Callithrix jacchus: one gene and its partner. The protein of the gene in region 1 binds, or shares a complex with, the protein of each later gene. Links are inferred from orthologs where the notes say so. Each region holds a gene or a part of one and is shown on either strand. Other genes may lie near its edges. The genes, in order: RAF1 and RAP1A.

Region 1 (3,815 bases):
TCTCGCATACGACGCATAGTCAAAGAAGGTAGTGCTGGGACTCCACTATCACCAACAGTGGAATTTGGAAACAATCTAAATGAAAGCAGGGAAAGACTGGTTTTTAGAGCTGTAGTAATCTTACAGAGATAATCAGCATGCCTTGCTTTTGCAAACTCACAGCTATTCAAACTGAACTTTGCCCAGTCACATTTTCCTCAACTGTTTTACGTTACCTACAGTAAAAGGAACAACATTCCAAATAACTGGGTTTGAATGATTATTAAATGTGAATAATACTGACCTGCCAATAAACATACAGTCTCCAGCGTGCATTTCTTTTTTTTTTTTGAGACGGAGTCTTGCTCCGTTGCCCAGGTTGGAGTGTAGTGGTGCATACTCGGCTCACTGCAACCTCTGCCTCCCAGGTTCTCCTGCTTCAGCCTCCCAAGTACCTGGGATTACAGGTGTACACCACCACATCCAGCTAATTTTTGTATTTTTAGTAGAGACAGGGTTTCACTATGTTGGCCAAGCTGGTCTTGAACTCCTGACCTCAGCTGATCCACCCACCTCAGCCTCCCTAAGTGCTGGGATTACAGGCGTTAGCCACCATGCCCACCCCAGTGTGCATTTCTAGGACTGTGCATTTTTAGGAAATATTGGTCCTATGTCTAGCAGGATCAAAATAATGTTTTTTCAGACTACACAGCATTTTACAAACTATGTCACATAGTGCTTTTCCAGAAACATTTCAACTTGGAAATACATAGATAAAAACAGTAAAACAGGAGGAATAAATCATAGAAAAGTGAGTAATTAGGCACCTTCTTTCCATGAGCTGGGCACTTGTGCTTAGTAAATTTCACAGGTTATGTCAGCAAGCCTCACAAAAACAATGCAAGGAAGGTAATATCCCCTTTATTCAGACACGTGAATGAAAACTCAGATGTGATTATGGTTAATGAGAACACTGAGATTTTGGTACATGTCTGTTGGACTCAAAAGCTTGTGCTGCTGGGTGCAGTGGCTCATGCCTGTACCTGCAACACTTTGGAAGGCTAAGGTGGACAGATTGCTTGAGCTCAGGAGTTGGAGACCAACCCAGGCAACACGATGAAACCCCGTCTCTACAAAAAATACAAAAGTTAGCTAGGCATGGTGAAATACACCTGTAGTCTCAGCTACTAAGGAGACTGAGGTGAGGATTACTTGAACCCAAGAGGTTGAGGCTATAGTGAGCTATGATCATGCCACTGCCCTCCAGCCTGGGCAAGAGGGTGAGACCCTGTTTTTTTTTTTGAAGGACAAAAATAAGACAAATAAAAAAAGGTTGTGCCTGCCATTTGTGCTACTCAAGCTCTCATTACAAAATCAATATGTGAGTAACCACGAAAGCAAAAAAGATGTTTCCATTATGGTCTAATAACACTCTCTTGGTTTCTCTAGTACTGTCGAAAAGGACAAAACTTTAAACTTTTCATATTCCTGGTGACAGTTTTTAAAAGGCAGTTTGGACCATGTACTTTAAATTTTTTAATAAAATAATATTTTGTCTATATGAAATATATTGTGTCCTGACAGAAACAAGAATCTTTCAAGATTTTATGTTCAAACAATTTTAAGTCCAAACAACTAAGTTTTCTCCAGTTTGGAGTTAAGAAAATAGCATCAACTGCGCTTTCTGCTCCTTCTCAATGTTAAAGGCTTGTTCAGCATAAGCAACAAAATACAGAGCAGTGTCTACTAGCAACCCAGCAGATGATACTATTAAGAGAGAAAACCAAAAAATCTTCTCATTTTCATATCCTTTTGTTCTTTTCCTTACTGAATCACAGTCACAATATGGCAATCTCAATTTAACAGACAACAAGTCCTATTCCTACCTGCTCATTTTGGAGTATTAATGCCACCAAACCTAGCTAGTTTCAGAAGTATCTGTTTCTAAAGTAGATAGTTTCTGGATCACAATTCTGTAAATGAATCTAGAATCCAGACCTGTCAGTCAAAATCTACAATGAATATCCTTTAAAGTATTTATACTCCTTATCCCTATATTCCTTGAGAAAATGAACAATGCCTTACAAGAGTTGTCTGATATTACTCCAGTCCACACACATAGTAGGTACTTTGGTGCTACAGTGCTCATGAAATTTGTAGCCACAAGTCTGACATCGAAATCCATTGAGCAGGAATTTCTGACAGATGTCACAGAAGGCAAGCTTCAGGAACGTCTTCCGAGCCTACAAGAACACAGGTGTAAATTATGCTGAATAAAAGATGACAAAAGACAAAGTCATTTTCTTCCTTGGCCTCCAAAAGAGTTTTTACAAAAATCAATCATACTTCCAACATTTACAGAATTCATAATCATAAATTAAAGTGTATCTCTGACTAAGGCAATGAAATCTAAATTGCCTTACTGTAAACAATGGCATAAAGAGCCTCAAACAATCCAAATACACACACACACACACACACACACACACATATGCCTATTACCTGAGAAATTTCTGTTAGGCCTGGCAAAGCCCTCAACATGCTAGAAAGAGAGATGTGCAACTTACAAAGTTGTGTGTTGTGAGGGGAACATGATCCAGGAAATCTACTTGAAGTTCTTCTCCAATCAAAGAGGCAGCATCAGTATTCCAATCTAAGCGTGCTTTTTTACTAAAAAGGATTAAAAAAAAAAAAACATGAAAGGGAAATGTTTAAACAAGGTAGGAGTTCAATACAAATAACAGCTACCATTTATCACATGCTATAAACAACTCTATATAGCTTTATATAGCCATAAAACAATAATCTATTTAATTCATTGAACAAACCTATAAAATAAGTATTATCATTCCTATCTGAAAAAATAGGAAAACTGGGACTCTAAGAAGGTAACTTGCTGAAGGCCACACAGCAAGTATAAAGGCCTATGTTGGACCACATCTGTTGAACTCCAAAGCCCATGTTCTTAGAATGAAGTTTTCTCTTTATTTATTTAAAACATTTTTTTTTGGTAGAGATAGAGCCTTGCTGTGTTGCCCAGGCTGGTCTTGAATTCTTGGCCTCAAGTGGTTCTCCTGCATCAGCCTCCCAAAGTGCTGGGATTACAGGTGTGAACCACCATATCTGGCCATGATAAAGTTTTATTTAAACAATGATATATAACAATCTCACGATAAAGTCAATATATATTAAATTGAAATTTGTAACATTAAAATCTTACAAAAATCCCCAAATCCTGTCAAATGGATTATAAATATTGCTGCAGTACAAAATTTAGTCTTCAATAGTCTATTTCAATCTAGATAAACAGAAAGGAACCACAAATGAAATGTACTTTTCTATTAATAAAAGACTCTGATCTGTAGTTGTAGGGTCTGCAAGATAATGACAGACTTAAGTGTCTTAAAATCTACTCTGAAACCACACCTTCTGTGCCTACAGTATAAATAAGACAAAAAATATATACATATAAAAATTAACGCCCAATTCCATTCTCATGTCTTATCCAGTTAATCTGGCCCGTTTTCCAAAGGAAGAATATTCTCAGGTAAAGAAAGAATAACATGTATAGCACTATTCAAGCCTCTCCATCATCTACCAGAAGACTAGTCAAGCCATTTTTCTCCCTATCCAACAGTAACTAATACACTCCTTAATATAATTACCTACACAGCATATGGGAAACTCCCTATAACTCCAAAGGACTATTTTGCCCTTGTGAATACAGGGAAGAGAAGCCTTATTTTCTTATCAGTCTGCAGAGTGATCCTAGTGACAATCTGCTGTCTGTCCTAGAGAGACCCCAGAGTAGCTCCAAATCAGTGCAGCCTTGGATA
Region 2 (4,296 bases), on another chromosome or scaffold:
GCAGTAAGGGAAGACCTGAGACTGGTGCAGTGACGGGAAGGAAGTTAGGATATGTACAATCTTGAGGAAAAAGGTTACAGGTAGAGAAGACAGCAAGTGTAGACACCTGAGTGTAGCTGACCTTGAGAACTAGGAGGCCAGTGTGGTTGGAGTACAGCAAGCAAGAGCAAAAGTAAAGGGACTTGATATTACAGAAATAGCTGAGGTGGGCTGGGCCCGGCGTGGTGGCCCCCGCCTATAATCCCAGCACTTTGGGAGGCTGAGGCGGGTGGATCACCAGGTCAAGAGATCGAGACCATCCTGGTCAACAAGGTGAAACCCTGTCTCTACTAAAAATACAAAAATTAGCTGGGCATGATGGTGCACGCCTGTAGTCCCAGCTACTTGGGAGGCTGAGGCAGGAGAATTGCCTGAACCCAGGTGGAGGAGGTTGCGGTGAGCCGAGATCGCGCCATTGCACTCCAGTCTGGGTAACAACAGCGAAACTCCGTCTCAAAAAAGAAAAGAAAGAAAGAAATAGCTGGGCTGCTGTAAGTCTTGCATGCCATGGTAAGAACTTCGGATTTTTACTGTGAATGAGATGGGAAAACACTGGACAGTTGTGAAAACAAGAGAGACTTGCTCTGACTTAAATTTGTGAGCATCATTGTAGCTGCTGTGTGGAAATCAACTTGGGGTGGAGGGGCAAGAGTGGAAGCCGGAAGATCAATTAGGAGATTAATAATCTTCAATTCTAACCTTTTTCAGTGATTGCAAAATTGTGTATCTTCATGCTGTTGGACATATAGTTTCCTTTTCTTCCCATCTATTAAAGTAATTAAACGAACATGTGCATATACAACATTTTCTTTCTCTTGGAATCTTTCCTTGGGGATTTATTCCCAGAAGGACTACAGTACAGGATCAATGTATACGAATATACTTAACTTCTGGGGTATATTAAGTATAGATACTGTCCTTCCTGAGGCCATACAAAAAGTGAACAAAGACTTTTGAGCTGTTTTAATATGAATTGGGCAACACTCAGGGATTCCATCCAGTTCACTTTTAAGACAGATGGTCATGGTTGGCCTCAGAGGGTCCCTAACACTAATGCAAAATTTTGTGAATAAATGCCTATTAACTTTTTTCTGAGGAGAGAGTTTATATATTTCAACATATTCTCAAAGGTGTCAGTGGCCTAGAAAAGGTTAAGAATTACTATTTTACAAACTGGAAGTGGAATGCAATATCCTAATATAGGGTACCTCTCAAAAGGACGGAAGATTTAACACCTAGACTCATCTTGGTAATCATTCAATTCATTCAACAAATACTGAACATGTATGATCCGCAGTACCTTACAGCTGATCGTATCTGAAGTAGACCATAATTTAAACACCCAGGAAACTAGACAAGAGTCCCTGAAATATATACAAAAGAATATCAAACTATATAATTTCAAAACAAAAATGTTACAGGAACTAATAATAAAGACAGAAAGTCTGGGGCCTAATTTAATGCTTATTATGTCAAAGTATCACAGAAATAAATTACATCACAAGTAAAGAAAACTACACATAGGCATGTCCACCCCCACACATTCTGACAGGAAACCCAAAGAAAGTTTCCAAATCCTGTTTCCAGCAGCATCTCTTCTGAGACAGCCCTTCACACTTTTGAAGGTAGGAGCCCCAAGTTAAATCTAAGAGCTGATACTTTACGCTTACTGTAATAACAAAACCATCATCCACCACCTAAGAAGGAGAAAAGAGTGGCTACCTGCAGGGCTGTGGTCCAATCACCTTCTGCTCTATTATTCTATTTCACTTCCTATGCCTCCTACCTTCAAGGAAGGAACAAAATGATTTTCCCTCCCGAAACAGAATGCATTACTCCTCAACAGTAGTTCTTTTTCCAAGAGGTCAAAGGTTCCCTAAACTCTGGTTCTCAGCCCTGTGAGGAGATCCCATTTGGCAAGCACAAATGTCTTCCTCTCATCTTCTCCCCGTAGCAGTAAATTACACAATTCGGCTGAAGACACCGTCCTTAACTTCCTGAGTAAGAGGGGCAAGAGATGCTCTTACCAACGTTAGTTTGAAAGATTACAAGAATCACACTGTGACCTCTTCCCTAACAAAATTCAGGGAAGAAGCAGAGACTCATGAAAAGTAACATTGAAGAAGCGAACACATGGTAAGCTACGGAAGACCTGGGGGTAAAGAAGGCGGGAAAGGGGCTAGAAGGTGGAGTGGGATGTAGAGATGTCAGCCCTATTCACTGGGGGAATAAAGGAAGGAAAAGGAGACCCTGAACCCTGACAGAAGTGAACACGGACATAGCAACGCTCCAACCGGTCCGCACTTCTACAGCAGAGGACAGAGGACAGAGAATTCACCCAACCCTCCAACCCCCTCCCCGTGTGCCCCGCCAAAAGGGAGAGGTGGGTTGGAAAGGAAGCTCTGACCCTAGACAGGGGACATGCAAGAGAGGAAGGCAGCGACGTCCAACCTTCTAAGTCTCTCAGGCAGTGATGGGCGAGGGCACCAAGTCTGGGGAGACGGCAAGGGAAATGGGCTTGTGCTATGACACCTCGGGGAGTTGAAGGGTGGGGGACACAATGTCCTCTTTCTCTCCCACAGCCGGCCGGGGCCCCTCCCGACGATCTCCCGCAGGCCTACAGTCGACCGGGTCGGTCCGCGGGCGTGGTTGGCTCTGGCCCTGGCGGTGGCCGGGCCTCCCTGATCTCCGGCCCCTCCCGCCGGCCAGGCCCCCGGGCCGCCGCCCCGGACACCGATGGAACGCGGAGGAGGAAGGGGGAGCCAGGCGACTGACCGGCGACATGAGCCGCCTCACCATCGGCTCCGCCGACCCGCGCCCCCCGCTCCCTCTGGGACAGTCTAGGGCTCCCCGCCCCTCACTCACCCCCCTGGTCCGGCACCTCCTCCACCTCCTCCTCCTCCTCCTCCTCCTCCTCCTCCCTCCTCTCGCCCGTGGCTCCTGCTCCGGCTCTGCGCGGCGACGGCAGCAGCGGCCTCGGGAGCGGCGGCGGCGCCTCCTCCAGAACGCGCACGCACGCAGCACGCATCCCCGCCCCCTAATTCTGTCCCGCCCCTCCAAGTGAGCCGCGAATGGGCTTCGGCCCCGCCTTCCCCGCGGCGTTCCGGAGTCCGCTTAAAGGAGCCGCGCACTTTAAGCGGGGAGCGGGGAAGTCCTGGAACTACCGGGAAGGGGCGGGGAATTTTAGCTTTGCACACAGGCGGAATGGGAGGTGGGTAAGACCGGAAAAAAAATGAGGAAGGGTCCAAAGATTCAAGAAGAAAATTTGGAGGGAACGCAAGCATTCGACAAGAACTGAGCACCTGTTAGGTGCCAGGCGGTGTTCTAACTAAGCGCAAAGGGATCAAGCCATAGACAGGCAAAGACCCTCCTGCAGCATGCTTGCTAGTGGAGTGGGAGAGGGGATACAGACAACAAACAAGTGACAAAAACTGCAGGTAGTGATAACTGGTGTGGAGGAAAATAAACGGGAGATAGGGTGACTTTACACCTGGTCAGATACTGCGTCTCCAAGACCTTTGAGCCCATACACACGGTATGAAGGAGTAAGTCTTGCAGACACGGGGGCGGGGAGGACGAATAGCCTTTTCCAGGCTAAGAGAAAATCAGCCATAAACCCAGAGGTAGGGATATGCCTGCCATGTGCAGAAACAGTGAAAGGCCGGCGTGGCTGTGCAGCGTCAGCCAGCCCGAGAGCAGTACCAGCTAGGCTCAGAGAGGTGGGCCAGTGGCCAGATCCAGTGAAACCTGTGGGCCTTATAACAGGAACTGGAAACCATAGTAGGAGGGTGAGCTGAGGAATGACCGCATCTGATTCACATTTTTAAAAGTTAGTCTTGCTGATGTGTGTAAAATACACAATGGGGAAAGCACAGATGTCCTTGGGTTACCAGTACGGTAGCTTGGATTAAGTAGCCTGGCAGCCATGGACAGGATGAGAAGGCTATTTTATTGTATTTAGATACATTATAATTAGAATGGATTTGGATTTGGGGCATACTGTGTGAAAGAACAAAAGGAAATCAGAGTTGATTCTTATGTTCCCGCCAGATGACTGATTTAATGGTGGTGCCATTTAATGAAAAGGAGGCGCAGATTTGGGGATGGGGAAATCAAGAGACTTTTTTGCACATGTTATATTTAAGGTACCCGTTCGGCCGGGCGCGGTGGCTCAAGCCTGTAATCCCAGCACTTTGGGAGGCCGAGGCGGGTGGATCACGAGGTCAAGAGATCGAGACCATCCTGGTCAACATCGTG

The links.
Region 2: the proteins of RAF1 (region 1) and RAP1A are in contact, whole or in part, in a crystal structure (PDB 3KUC), measured with the Homo sapiens proteins. The link is inferred for Callithrix jacchus from reciprocal best matches to the Homo sapiens genes RAF1 and RAP1A. Residues at the interface, in NP_001341619.1 of Homo sapiens: Thr57, Arg59, Asn64, Lys65, Gln66, Arg67, Thr68, Val69, Val70, Lys84, Lys87, Val88, Arg89, Gly90; in NP_001010935.1 of Homo sapiens: Val21, Gln25, Ile27, Val29, Asp33, Pro34, Ile36, Glu37, Asp38, Ser39, Tyr40, Arg41.

Annotation. Positions count from the first base shown.
Region 1 is NC_133516.1:69,764,096-69,767,910, forward strand, and holds part of RAF1 (RAF proto-oncogene serine/threonine-protein kinase), read right to left. Parts: intron 2,650-3,815; coding exon 2,547-2,649; intron 2,223-2,546; coding exon 2,065-2,222; intron 76-2,064; coding exon 1-75. UniProt on the Homo sapiens protein: Serine/threonine-protein kinase that acts as a regulatory link between the membrane-associated Ras GTPases and the MAPK/ERK cascade, and this critical regulatory link functions as a switch determining cell fate decisions including proliferation, differentiation, apoptosis, survival and oncogenic transformation.
Region 2 is NC_133508.1:149,582,702-149,586,997, reverse strand, and holds the start of RAP1A (ras-related protein Rap-1A), read right to left. Parts: upstream 3,047-4,296; 5' UTR 2,905-3,046; exon of another isoform or gene 2,491-2,904; intron 1-2,490. UniProt on the Homo sapiens protein: Counteracts the mitogenic function of Ras, at least partly because it can interact with Ras GAPs and RAF in a competitive manner. Together with ITGB1BP1, regulates KRIT1 localization to microtubules and membranes.